Canis lupus familiaris: one gene and its partner. The protein of the gene in region 2 purifies or fractionates together with the protein of the main gene of each other region. This does not show direct contact. Links are inferred from orthologs where the notes say so. Each region holds a gene or a part of one and is shown on either strand. Other genes may lie near its edges.

Evidence for each region. The genes of interacting proteins can lie anywhere in the genome.
Region 1: the proteins of PRDM16 (region 2) and CTBP1 purify together in Homo sapiens (affinity purification with mass spectrometry; 3 studies listed by BioGRID and IntAct, with this or other methods). This does not show direct contact. The link is inferred for Canis lupus familiaris from reciprocal best matches to the Homo sapiens genes PRDM16 and CTBP1.

The regions. Positions count from the first base shown.
Region 1 is NC_049224.1:91,997,704-92,003,143, reverse strand, and holds part of CTBP1 (C-terminal-binding protein 1), read right to left. Parts: exon of another isoform or gene 4,513-5,440; coding exon of another isoform or gene 3,382-4,512; exon of another isoform or gene 2,661-3,381; intron 1,873-2,660; coding exon 1,728-1,872; intron 1-1,727. UniProt on the Homo sapiens protein: Corepressor targeting diverse transcription regulators such as GLIS2 or BCL6. Has dehydrogenase activity. Involved in controlling the equilibrium between tubular and stacked structures in the Golgi complex.
Region 2 is NC_049226.1:58,176,992-58,183,149, reverse strand, and holds the start of PRDM16 (histone-lysine N-methyltransferase PRDM16), read right to left. Parts: upstream 3,514-6,158; 5' UTR 3,270-3,513; coding exon 3,233-3,269; intron 1-3,232. UniProt on the Homo sapiens protein: Binds DNA and functions as a transcriptional regulator. Displays histone methyltransferase activity and monomethylates 'Lys-9' of histone H3 (H3K9me1) in vitro.

The sequences.
Region 1 (5,440 bases), on a different chromosome or scaffold from region 2:
CAGGCGAGGTCACCCAGGCAGGTGCCAACACCCGGGTCTCCCTGCCTGCACCATGAGCCACCTGACCGCCAGCTCACAGCCACGCAGGCCCCACCCCTCCTGCTTTCCTCGGCCCCCAGGCCATTTGGGACCTGGCTTTGGACGGAGTGGCCCTGTCCTCACAGCCCCACGGCCCCCACCGCCCCTCAGCAGCCCTGCGGAGTGAGCTGAGGCTTCTCTATGCCCAGCACCTCCGCGCTTCTACCCGCCTCTCCCGAGCCTGGCCCCTCCCGCCTACCTATCCTGCCCTGCCGCCTCCTCGCCCCTGCCCCTGTGACTGCACAGTGCTTCCCGGGGACTGGTCACCTCCCTGCCGAGGGGAGGGCGCCTACCGGTTCCTTGCGCTACCCTAAATGCCAGGATGATGCCCAACACGTGAACAGGGCTTTGTGAGAGGGCCCAGAGCGGATCCTCCACTCCCTTCTGGAAACATCTCAGCCCACCGTGAACACAAGAGATGAGGAGCAGGAGGACCAGGTGACAGGGACACCATCCCCTAGATCTGGGGACACACGGCCAGGGTGACCACAGGGCATGGCCCTGATTGTCCCTGGTAGAGGAACAGAGCCCAGCCTGTAGAATCACAAGACAGGACAGACTCGGGGAACAGGGATAAAGCCCCCCGGGAGTCCCCGGGGCAGAAAGCATCCAGGCTGTGGTCAACTCTGCTGCAGGGGCCTTTGCTGGGGATGCAGCCTGGGGACGGGTGACAGTGGGGCGGGAGGGCTCCATCATGTGAGCCAGCAGAGGGCACGAGGGTCCTCGCGAGAGCAGAATAAACCGAGTCTGCGGTAGACGCAAATGGCAGGCCGTTCTGACCCCGGTTCTTCAGCTGCACCAGGGGAAAGGACTGGCAAGACCGGGCATGGGGAGGGTGGGGTCTGTGTGTGCAGCTGCGTGCCCTGCTCATGGGGGGGGGTCACCCCTGCAGCTGCGCACCTGCTCATGGGGGGGTCACCCCTGCAGCCACGTGCCCTGTTCATGGGGGGTCACCCCTGCAGCCACGTGCCCTGCTCATGTGGGGGGCGTCACCCCTGCAGCTGTGCGCCCTGCTCATGAGAGGGGTTCATCCTTGCAGCCGTGTGGCCTGCTCATGTGGGGGGGTCACCCCTGCAGCTGTGCGCCCTGCTCATGGGGGGGGTCACCCCTGCAGTTGCACACCCTGCTCATGAGGGGGGTCACCCCTGCAGGTGTGCACCCTGCTCATGGGGGGGTCACTCCTGCAGCTGCCTGCCCTGATCATGGGAGGATCACCCCCTGTAGCTGCGCGCCGACATGGGGGGGTCGCCCCTGCAGCTGCGCACCCTGCTCATCGGGGGGGTCACCCCTGCAGGTGTGCACCCTGCTCATGGGGGGGAGGTTACTCCTGCAGCTGCCCGCCCTGATCATGGGAGGATCACCCCCTGCAGCTGCACCCTGCTCAAGTACCAGCTCCCCTCCCCAGGCGCGGGGAGGAGGTCAGAGCACGTGACCCCTACAAAGTTTTCTGAGAGAGCCGGTTTGACTGGGGAGTTTGGGGGGGGGCCTGAACCCTGAAAGATGCTCACAAGTGACCTCCAACCAAATACGGGCCTGCAAGGGAATCCTTGGTGTAAAGCAAAACCAAAGGACGAGAGGAAAGCTGAGGAGACCGCGCCGAAGAAGCAACACCCCAAGTCGCAAAAGGGAGGAAACACCCGGCGTCCTACCTAAATCCCCAGCTGACTTGATGTCGATGTTGTCGAATCCGCTGCCGATCCTGACGATGATGCGCAGAGCTTTGAACTTCTCCAGGTCCTCCCTGGTCAGCGTGATGGTGTGGTACATCAGCGCCCCCACCGCCTCGTTCAGCACCTGCCGGCGGAGGGGCCACGCGGTCAGGGGCCGGGCCCCGCTGGGGAGCTGCAAACGTCCCCCCGAAACCGCCCCCCCCGCCTCCGCTGTGTGCTGGGGACTGCGGACATCCTAGGGCAGCAGCCACTGCTGTGACATCCGAGGGGACCGCAGGGTGACCTGCTGGCTCTGCGCTCAGACCCCCAAGCAGCCCGAGGCCGCGCCCCCGGAGAGAAGCGCTGGGCAGGGCGGGTAGGAGGCTCGCCTTCCGCGTGGACACCAGGCAAACAGGAGCGCAGGAGGACACAGCCTCGGAACCGCAGGGCCCGCCGGGGCGCGGACGGCACGCACACGGGTCGGAGCCGGGGCCCGGGTCAGCCCGCTTCGCCACGGCCCCATCTGCGCCCACACGCAGGCCCTGACGCTGCCCACGCGTCTCCGGGCCTGGCTGCCGTTCGTGAAGCCCCAGGAGCAGGTCAGTGTCCTGTCTCCCGAGTTTGCACAACGTGGGCCGAGGCGCTACTGTTTGCAAACCGCCCAACCGGGGCGACCTCTGGGAAGCGGGGGCTCCAGCCCCGCCCCGCCCCGCAGGAACCACAGCTGCAGCTCTGCGCAGGTGCGGACAAGACCTGGACGGGAGGGCACGCCCCCCGCAGGGCCAAGCGCACGGAGACCACGCCCCCACAGGCCACGCCCCCGCAGGGCCAGGCTCGCAAGACCACGCCCCCCGTAGGGCCCAGCAATACAGACCACGCCCCCCGAAGGGCCAGGCCCGCACGGGTCACGCCCCCGCAGGGGCCACACCCCCACAGGACCCAGCAATGCAGACCACGCCCCCCGAAGGGCCAGGCCCACAAGGCCACGCCCCCGCAGGCCCCAGCAATGCAGACCACGCCCCCTGCAGGGCCAGGCCCGCACAGGCCACGCCCCCGTAGGGCCCAGCAATACAGACCACGCCCCCCGCAGGGCCAGGCTCGCACAGGCCACGCCCCCGTAGGGCCCAGCAATACAGACCACGTCCCCCGCAGGGCCAGCCCCGCACGGGCCACGCCCCCGCCGGGCCAACCGCACGCAGACCACGCCCCCTCAGGGCCACGCCCCACAGGCCCCAGCAATACAGACCACGCCCCCGCAGGGCCAGGCCCGCACAGGCCACGCCCCCGTAGGGCCCAGCAATACAGACCACGCCCCCCGCAGGGCCAGGCTCGCACAGGCCACGCCCCCGCAGGCCCCAGCAATGCAGACCACGCCCCCGCAGGGCCAGGCGCGTGCACAGCACCCCAGCTGGTGCCTCCTGACCCTCGAGGCCTGCAGGTGGGCGCCACAGCCGGGCTGTGGTCAGGGGTGGGGAATGCCTGGCTCCCGGGGCTTTGTCCCAGGTCCAGGAGGGCAGCCCCGTGAGTGGTGCCTTCCAGGGCGTGATCCGCAGAAGTCGCGCACGGACCTCAGCCAGACGCCGGTGGGTGCCTACGGTGTCCGGTCTCCAGGCCCAAGGGCCGGGGACCCAGGATGGTCCAGGCGCACGGAGCCTCACAGCCGAGGGCCGGGGTTGTCCTTCCCTAGGGGACGCAGAGCAGCCTTCCTATCGAGGACACCTCCCACCCAAGGGCATGCGCTGGCTGCTGGGCACCGCAGCCCGGCGTCCGCCACGCTGCCCTCCTCCAGACTGAGCTTCTCGTGCTGGCTCTGGGTGTCCTGGCCGGCGAGGGACGCCAACAGCAGGCCATGGTGACCTTGAACCCCAGGATGAGGAAGGCAGCGAGAAGTGGTGCCCAGGACAGCCTGGACTCGGGGCTGATGTGAGAGGCACAGTAGGGGTCCTGCGTGGGGTGCAGGGCCCATGGGGAGGCTGCTGACTGCTCCTCTCATCTGCTTCTCTACAGCAGCTGAGCTTGTCGGACAGAGGGCAACCCAAAATACAGACCATTCCAAGGCTGGCCAACGTGGCCCGGGGCACGTGCCCACAGGGACCCCACACGGGCCAAGGGGGCGCGGGCTGGCTGGGCCTTCAAGGGACTGCAAAGTGCCGCTGGCCCCTGCTCCTGTTCCTGCACTGAGCGTCCTGGGGATCTCTGCTCCTGCAGGCAGGGAGCTGCCCACGTCCTGACGCCTCCCCCTGGACTCCCAGGACGTCAAGGCTGCATGTACTCCCACTCCCTGCCTGGCCCGTGGGGTGGGTGAGGACCCTCGTGCGACAGCCAAGTAGTAGTGCTGTGCACGGGGAGCACACAGGGAGGGCTTGGACGGAGCGGGGAGGGCAGACCTTGCCACCCTGTGCTGAGCTGCGTGGACCGGAGAGGAGGGTAGCCTCGGACACAGCTGTGCCCTGGAAAGAGGACAGACGCATCCAGGGACAGATGGACTGTGGAGGGGGAGGCTGCAGGGTGAGTCTGAGTCTTGGGCCTGGGCACCCAGATGCATGCACGGGCCTCTTCCTGGGGTGACCGGGCAGAGGCACTGGCCTGGGGACAGGCGGGGAGGAAGAGTGTCCAAGCACGGGCAGGTGTGTGTGCCCACGCCTGAGCCCTGAGCCATGGCAGGACGCAATCGCATCACGACTGTGACTGTGCCTGCTCCGTCCCAGCGTGGACAAGCCAAGACGCATGCCAAGTTCCAACTGCTGGGGTGTCTGGGCTGCTCCGCTGTTGGCTGTGCTGCCATAAAAATCCACAATTTCGGGGATCCCTGGGTGGCTCAGCGGTTTGGTGCCTGCCTTAGGTCCACAGCGTGGTCCTGGAGTCCCGGGATTGAGTCCCACGTCAGGCTCCCAGCATGAAGCCTGCTTCTCCTTCTGCCTGTGTCCCTGTGTCCCTGTGTCTTTGCCTCTCTCTTTCTATATATATATCTATCATGAATAAATGAATAAAATCTTAAAAAAAAAAATTCCACGATTTCCTGGAGGTCGGTCCTCGGAGCTGGAAAGCAGTGGGTCCATCGGAGAAGCCTCTGAGAGGGTGTCGGTGTGGCAGCTGGCCGCACCCGGGGGGCCGTTCACCCACTGGCACCCACTTCACGACGCCCAGCAGGGCAGAGTTTGAGATGCTGCGTGTGATGGACACAAACTGGCCATCTGTTACCTTAGTCTCAACGTGCCTGAGTGTGACCTACTGACGTTTCTTAATAAATTGGTTTCATGTCCGATTCCTTTTTCTACTGAGCAGCTGTAATCACGTGGTGCCCAGCGAGGCGTTCTCAGGGCAGAGACCACCCCAGCTCAGGGCTGCCCAACCGCCCTGGGAGGACCGGCTCGGCTGCAGGCCTGCACACAGGGAGCTCCGTCCAGGGGACCCAGGCCTGGGCCACCGCACTCCTGTGGCCAGCCCCGAGCTCCTCTCCAGGGGGCTGCTCACGCCCCGTCAGGACTGCGGAGTGGCTGGGATCCCGCCAGGCATCACATGGACTCCCAGGGAGGTGGTCTGCGGGGGGCCCCCAGGTGTTCACTCACGTCACCACGTGCCAGCTGTGACCAAGTTTGTCAGGCTTGAGGACCTGACCGCGTCCTCACCCCAGAATGGAGTGCCACGGGGCCAGTGGCAGCAGGGCGGGGGACTCAGTGGGCAGCTCGCGGAGAGAAGCCAAGGCCTACTGC
Region 2 (6,158 bases):
TCAGCCTCCAGCCAGGCTCCCCACACCCTGTCACACACACGTCACCCTGAAGATGCACACACAGGACACACCATGTCCGGCATCAAGCAGAGGTAGCACTCCCACCTCCACCCCAGGGGGCCAGGCGGCAGTTGTCCCCAGGACACTATCCCCAGGCCTGGACTATGTCATGTCTAGTTGTCTTAGCACGTCCATGGTGATCAGGTCTCGGGGCGGCTCTGATGGGGGCTCTCTGAGAGCACATCGTCTCGTGCACAGGGCCCCCCAGCTGTGCTACAAGGGCAGGAGGGCACCTGGGCTGTGTAGACCCCCATACCTGCCCATCTGGTTCACAACAGTGGCAGAAACACAAAGCTTTTGTTAGGCGTTTTGTGTTTAAATGTAGGGCAGGGACAGCCCCGATTCCCCACGGGCCAGCAAGCGCCCTGGCCTGTGTGAGGGGACCTGGACCTACCTGCCTTCACTCTGTCCCCAGCTGCCTAGGCTCCCTCTGTGAGGTGGTGAGCACCTCAGGGCCCTCTGTCCTTGGAAAGCTCAACTCACAGCCCCCAGGGTGGGCCCCAGAAGTGCCACCAGCTCAGTCTGCATGCAAGCCCCGCAGGGAGACCCCTGGAGTGGGGTCCTAGTGAAACACAAACGAAATTACAGCCACAGATGCAGCCTCCGGGGCAGCCCTCAAGCTCTGACTCAGGGGTGACACTCACTCACTCACTGACCAGGTTGTCCTTCTGCTCCCCGCACATGGCTTCAGGCACAGCCCAGCCCTGCACCCAGGCCTATAACTGTGACCTCTCTTTCTTCCCCCAGCCCCCTGCCCCTGGCCTCGATGTGGCTTGCAGGAGGAGGTTCTCCTGGCGGCACTGGGGCTGCCCTGCTGCCTCAGATTCAGGTTATGGAGGCAGGTCCCCAGGGACCTCCACATCTGCTTAAAATATTGTCCTATGAAATGAAATTCCTCAGCGGATCCTGTGCTCCGTATCGGGCAGGCAGCTGTGGCCCTGTGCCGGCCTCGGCCACCTCTTCGGGCAGGGCTGGGGACAGCTGTCCCGGCTGTGAGGGGTTTCCAGCGCTTGCTCCTGCGGGCTCCAGCGGGGTCTGGGCCGGACACACTTGCCCCGCTTTGGCTCCTTCTCACCATGGACTCCCAGGACAGGGAGACCTGTGCTCTGCCCTATCTTCGATTCTGGTCCCCTGGCCTCAGGGCCAGGCACCCATTCCAAGTGGTGAGAAGAGCCAACAGGGCCCCCTTCCCCACCTGTTGGGGTGGAGCAGGCAGGGAGCCGAGTGCAGGACGCTTTGCTGTTTCCAGGGCTGCGCTGGGGGCTCTGAGCCGCCTCTCGCTTACAGCGAAGGCCCAGCCAGAGCGCGGCTGCACGTCCCACCGTAGGGCTCCAGCCGCAGGTCCTTCCTCGGCCCGAGCCTGACCGGGGCAGCCTGCAGCCCAGGAATGAGACTCAGGAAGCCGCCGTGCTCACACACCAACACCCACACCCCCAGGCCTGCGGGCCCACAGGTAGCGGGCACCCAGCCCTGGCGCACCAGCCACAAAACACTGGGGCCTTGTTCGCACCAAGAGGGGCCAGAGGTCAGGGGAGACGGAGGAGGCCGAGGCCCCGAGCACCGGGCAAGGGAGACGCGCCGGAAAGGTGCGCCTCCAGGAGGAGCCCCACACAACTCGGGGGCTCCGGGCCGTCCTGCCTGCGCCGGGAGCTGCTTTTCCCCGGTGCTCCATGGCGCGCGCCGGGCCTAGCCCCGCGGGGCCGCTGTCCCGGGAGCCAGGCCGACCCAACCACGACAGCACAACTTCTTCGGAAAGTGTCGGAGTTCCCAGCCCACCAGGCTCGTGCTCGGGGGCTCAGCCCCGGTGCGGAGGCTCGGCCGGCCAGGGTCAGGCGGGAGAGGGGCGGGCGGAGCGGCCTGGTGGTCGCGCGGGGATCCCAGGGGAGCTGGCCTGGCGCCCCCGGCGTGGGTGGGCGGGCGGCCGGCGGAGGAGCGGGCGGCTGGCACCGCGGCGCCGGTTCGTCCCCGCGCGGCGCTCCCGCTTCGCTGCAGCCGGGCCTCGGCCGGGGCTTCGGGAGCCGCGCTCTCCCCGCCGCGGCTCCGCCGCTCCCACCTGCCCTCCGCCGGGGCCGCGGTCCCGGGCCCGCGGGCCTCCCCGCCGATGGCGCCAGCGGTCCGGGAGTGGAGGGAGCGCGGGGGCCCGGGCGCGGCGGCAGGCGGCGGGGCGAGCGGCGGGCGCACCGGGCCGGCGGCGCGGACCCGGCGGGCGGCGGGCCGGGCGCGCGGAGCTCGGGGCTCGGCCCGAGACGGAGCGAAAGAGAAAGTAAGAGCGGGGACCGGGCAGCGTCGCCGCGGGCAGCTCCGTCCCCTCCGGGCCTCGGGGCTGCGCGTGCGGCCGGGGCGAGGGGGGCGGCGGCGGCGGCGGGAGGCGGGGGCGGCCGGGCGGGGACCCTCCCGCCGGAGGCACGGGCTCCCTCCCGGGCCGGCCGCGCGGGTGCCGGGGTCCCGGAGTCCCGGAGGAGCGCCCGCCGCCGCGCGGGGCACGGGGCGGGAATACACTTGGCGGCCGCGGGGCCGGCCCCGGAGGACGTGTCCGTGTTGCCGCCCCGGCGGCCGGGCTGTCGTGCCGCCGCCCCTGCCCTGCGCCCGCGAGGCGCGGTGGACGCCGGCCCGCGCCCCCTCCTCCGCCCCCTCCCCGGCTCGGGGTCTCCCTCCTCTGCGCCCAGCTGGCGGACGCCAAAGGCGGTGCTCTAGCGCCCACTATTTCAAAAGCCCGGAATATGATTTGACCAGGACTGAGAGCCACTCCGAGAGAGAGAGGGAGAGAGCGAGCGAGGAGGAAAAAGTTGCTCTCCCCTTTCGTCAACTTTTCGCTAACTTTCGCTTTTCGCTCCCCTCCACCCCCAGCCCTCCCCCTCCGCCCCCCTCCCCGGCCCCCACCGCGCGCCTCGGGTTCCCGGGCCCGAGCGCCTGACACTGGGGGGGGGAGGGGGTTCGCGAGGAGGGGGCCGGCGCCTTCGGGGAGCGCGCGGCCCGGGCGCCCCGAGCCTCTGCGCCGAGCCCGGCCGCCCCGGAGCGCGGGAGGCGGAGCAGCCCCCGGGCCGCGCGGCCGACCGGAGGGCCGGGAGCCCAGGGCGCGCCGGCCGCGCCCCGACGCGCACCCCTGGCCCGGGCGCCCCGGCCCCGCGGCCCGGACCCGGCGGCGCGGCGCGGCCGAGCGCGGGAGACTTACTTTTGGCTAGCTTCCTCGCCCTCGCCTTGGATCGCATGGTGTCGGCTCGCGGAATCTCTCTCCTCCTCCTTGAGTCCAGAAGCAGCTACACACTATCTTCATCTCCCCAGCATTGTCAGTTTGGACACCTTCGCACATGCGCACACAGCACTCAATCTGACACCCCTCGCCGGGGCCAAAAAAACTTTGCAATGTATTCATCATCCTCATCGTCGCGCCGCCGTCGCCGCCGCCGCCTCGGCGCGGGATTGGGGGGCTCTCCTCGGCCTTCCCGGTCTTCCTCTCACTTATCTCTCCCCCCCCCCGCCCCCTCTCCCCCCTCCCCTTTCCAGCGCAGCTCGGAACTGGCCCTTTAAGAACACATTCCGTGCTCTGCGCTCCCGCCCGGGGCCCGCACCCCGGACACTTTAAAAGGACCCAGGTGGCCCCGGAGGCGAGGTGACGATGCCCCCACCCTGCCCCTGCGCCGGCCGCGGGCGGAGTGGCGGCGGCGCGGGTCCGCGCCCCTTCCCAGGACGGGGGCGGGGGGGGGACGCGCCCACAGTTCGGACGCGGGTCTGGCTGGGTTGGCTCCGTTTTATGGCATTTTATTCCTAATTAAAAAGCTTTGCGTCCCGCGTCGCCCCGGCCTGCTCTTCTCCCCGCGTCTCCCCGCGGCCCCCGCCCCGCCCCGCCCCCGCCCGAGGGGGTGTCCCAGCCGCGCGCGCCGATCCCGGCTCCGCCGAAGCCTCCTCCGGAGCCCCCTCCGGGCCCCGCCGCCCCCCTCGGCCTGCCCGGCTCCCGCCCCTCCCCTTCGCCCCCACCCCAGCGCTGCGGCTCCGGGCTCCGCGGCTCAAAAACAACAGCGGTGGCGCCGCCAGCTCCGCGCTCCGCCACAATCCCGGCGGCCGGGGACACTCGGACCCGCCGCGCTCCGTCCGCGCGGAACCGCGGAGAGCCGCGCGCGCGGGCACCGGGGAGGCTGCGCGGGGGGCCGGCGTCCGAACCCGGCCACCGCGGGGGCGGGCCCCAGGTGAGTACCCGCCGCGCGAGCCCCCGAGCTGGGCCACCCTCGGGGAAGTGGCCGCTCGCGGCCCAGGTGAGGAGCGGGCGGGAGGGCCGGCGGAGCAGGTGGCAGTGCGAGGGCGGGAGCTGACCGGGTGCTTCTACCTCGCAGCCCTCCGACGCGGAGGGGAACTCGAAACGTCCGGGCCAGGGGCCTGGGAACTCCTCCCGTGTGTCTGAGATTGGAGAGGGACATGGGGGCCGACGCAGGCGCTGACCCCGGCCCTGCCGGGGACGCGGGCTCTGCGGGCTTAGGGACCTAAAGCTTCCCCGGAGTCAGCCTGAGCGGGGCAGAGGTCGAGCCTTTGCTGGGGTCTCTGCAGCCGCGGGTGGGCTCCTGGCTGTGCGCCACTCCCCGTGTGCCCCATTTGTCGTGCCGTGAGACGAGTGGCACCCGAGCCCTCACCACGGGAGAGGTGAACGGGTAAGGGCGGAAGGACTAACACGGAGACCCTGGGGTCCTAGCCGAGGCGCTCAGGATGGCGAGGGGTGTGTGGCCGGTGCTACCCCCGAGGAAGAGCTCCACAGAACAGGGCTTGGCGGGAGCCAGAAGCGGCGGTGCGCCGGGCCTTCCCGCCTCCGCACTTCACAGCTGCCTTCCTGTCTGAATTCAACTGGCCGGAGCGTCCACGGTTTCAGGGGTGCCCAGCCTTGCACTCTGCTTGCAGCCCCAGACGGAGAAGGCACTCTCCGCCCTGCTCTGTTTCTCCCTGAATTGAATGCAGCCTCCACTGTTCTCCGGCCCTAGGTGAGTGTTGACCACCGGCACCAACAGGGGCTCCAGGGGCAGCTCAGTCCCCTTGCCTGCGTCCTTCTGAGGGTCTGTCCCCCGCACCCCTCGCTCTGCCTGTCCCCGTGGGCTTCGTGGAGAACTGCCCGGTCAGAGGCTCCTTGGGCCTTGCTGCCAGGTTCTGGGGTTTGGGTGGGCCACCCCTAGCAGAACCCACTCAGTCTCAAGGTGAGGGGTCACTGGGAGAGGAAGGAAGGAACCTGGAGCTCAGAACTGGGAGTTGTTCTGCTTACCCCAGCCAGGGCAGGCTTCAGCCCATGGACCTCACCTGGCTGTCGCGCCACTGGCCAGAAACAACACAAGGTCACCCTCCTATCTCAGCCTCCCTCGTCCTCCTTGCTGGGAGCCTCCTAGCAAGTTTGGGTAGGAGACCTGGGGGGAATAGGGTGGTGCCTTCGAAGTACTCCCACCTGCACAGAAGGTCCTACCCTATCCTCCACTCCCCACCCAAGTTCAGGCTTCCTTTCCCTCTGGCCTGGAGGCAGCCCTGTAGACTCCAAGGTTCAGAAGACCCAATCTTCTTCTGGGGGCACCCCAGCTCACTCTGGCCCTCTCTCTCAGCTCAGAAGGTGATTAAAATCTTCTGGATCCTGGCCAAGCTGTGCCAGGACACTCTCTAGACTCTGGGACTGCACCCCTTTCCAGGGCCTGGGGAAGGAGGGCAGGTGGGAGGCTGCACTGTCTCTTCTCTGCCCCCTGCCAGGGCCCTGGGGCGGGGGTAGGGGCTGCAGCTCCGGGTCTGCCTGGGGAGAAAGAACCAGGGCTCAGAAATGACAGGAGATGACCTAGCTGCTGACATCCCCAGGTGCCGCTCCGGGCAGCGCACTCACTCCCATCAGCCCCAGGCTGTTGCAGGAGCCTGGGCAGACTGTCCCCAAGGCCACGGCCCTGGCCTGGCCGGGCCCTGCCCCCGCGTGGCCGGATTTAGAACCGAGAACAGGTCAGGCTATGCAGAGTCCGCAGAGAGAAGGGTGAAGAAGAGGGAACCAGACATGGGTCCAGACCGCAGCCCAACGTTGCAGACATTTGGGGACTGGGACATGGGGGAACAGGTATGGGCCCGGTGAGGGTGAAACAGGAAGAGGAGTGCTT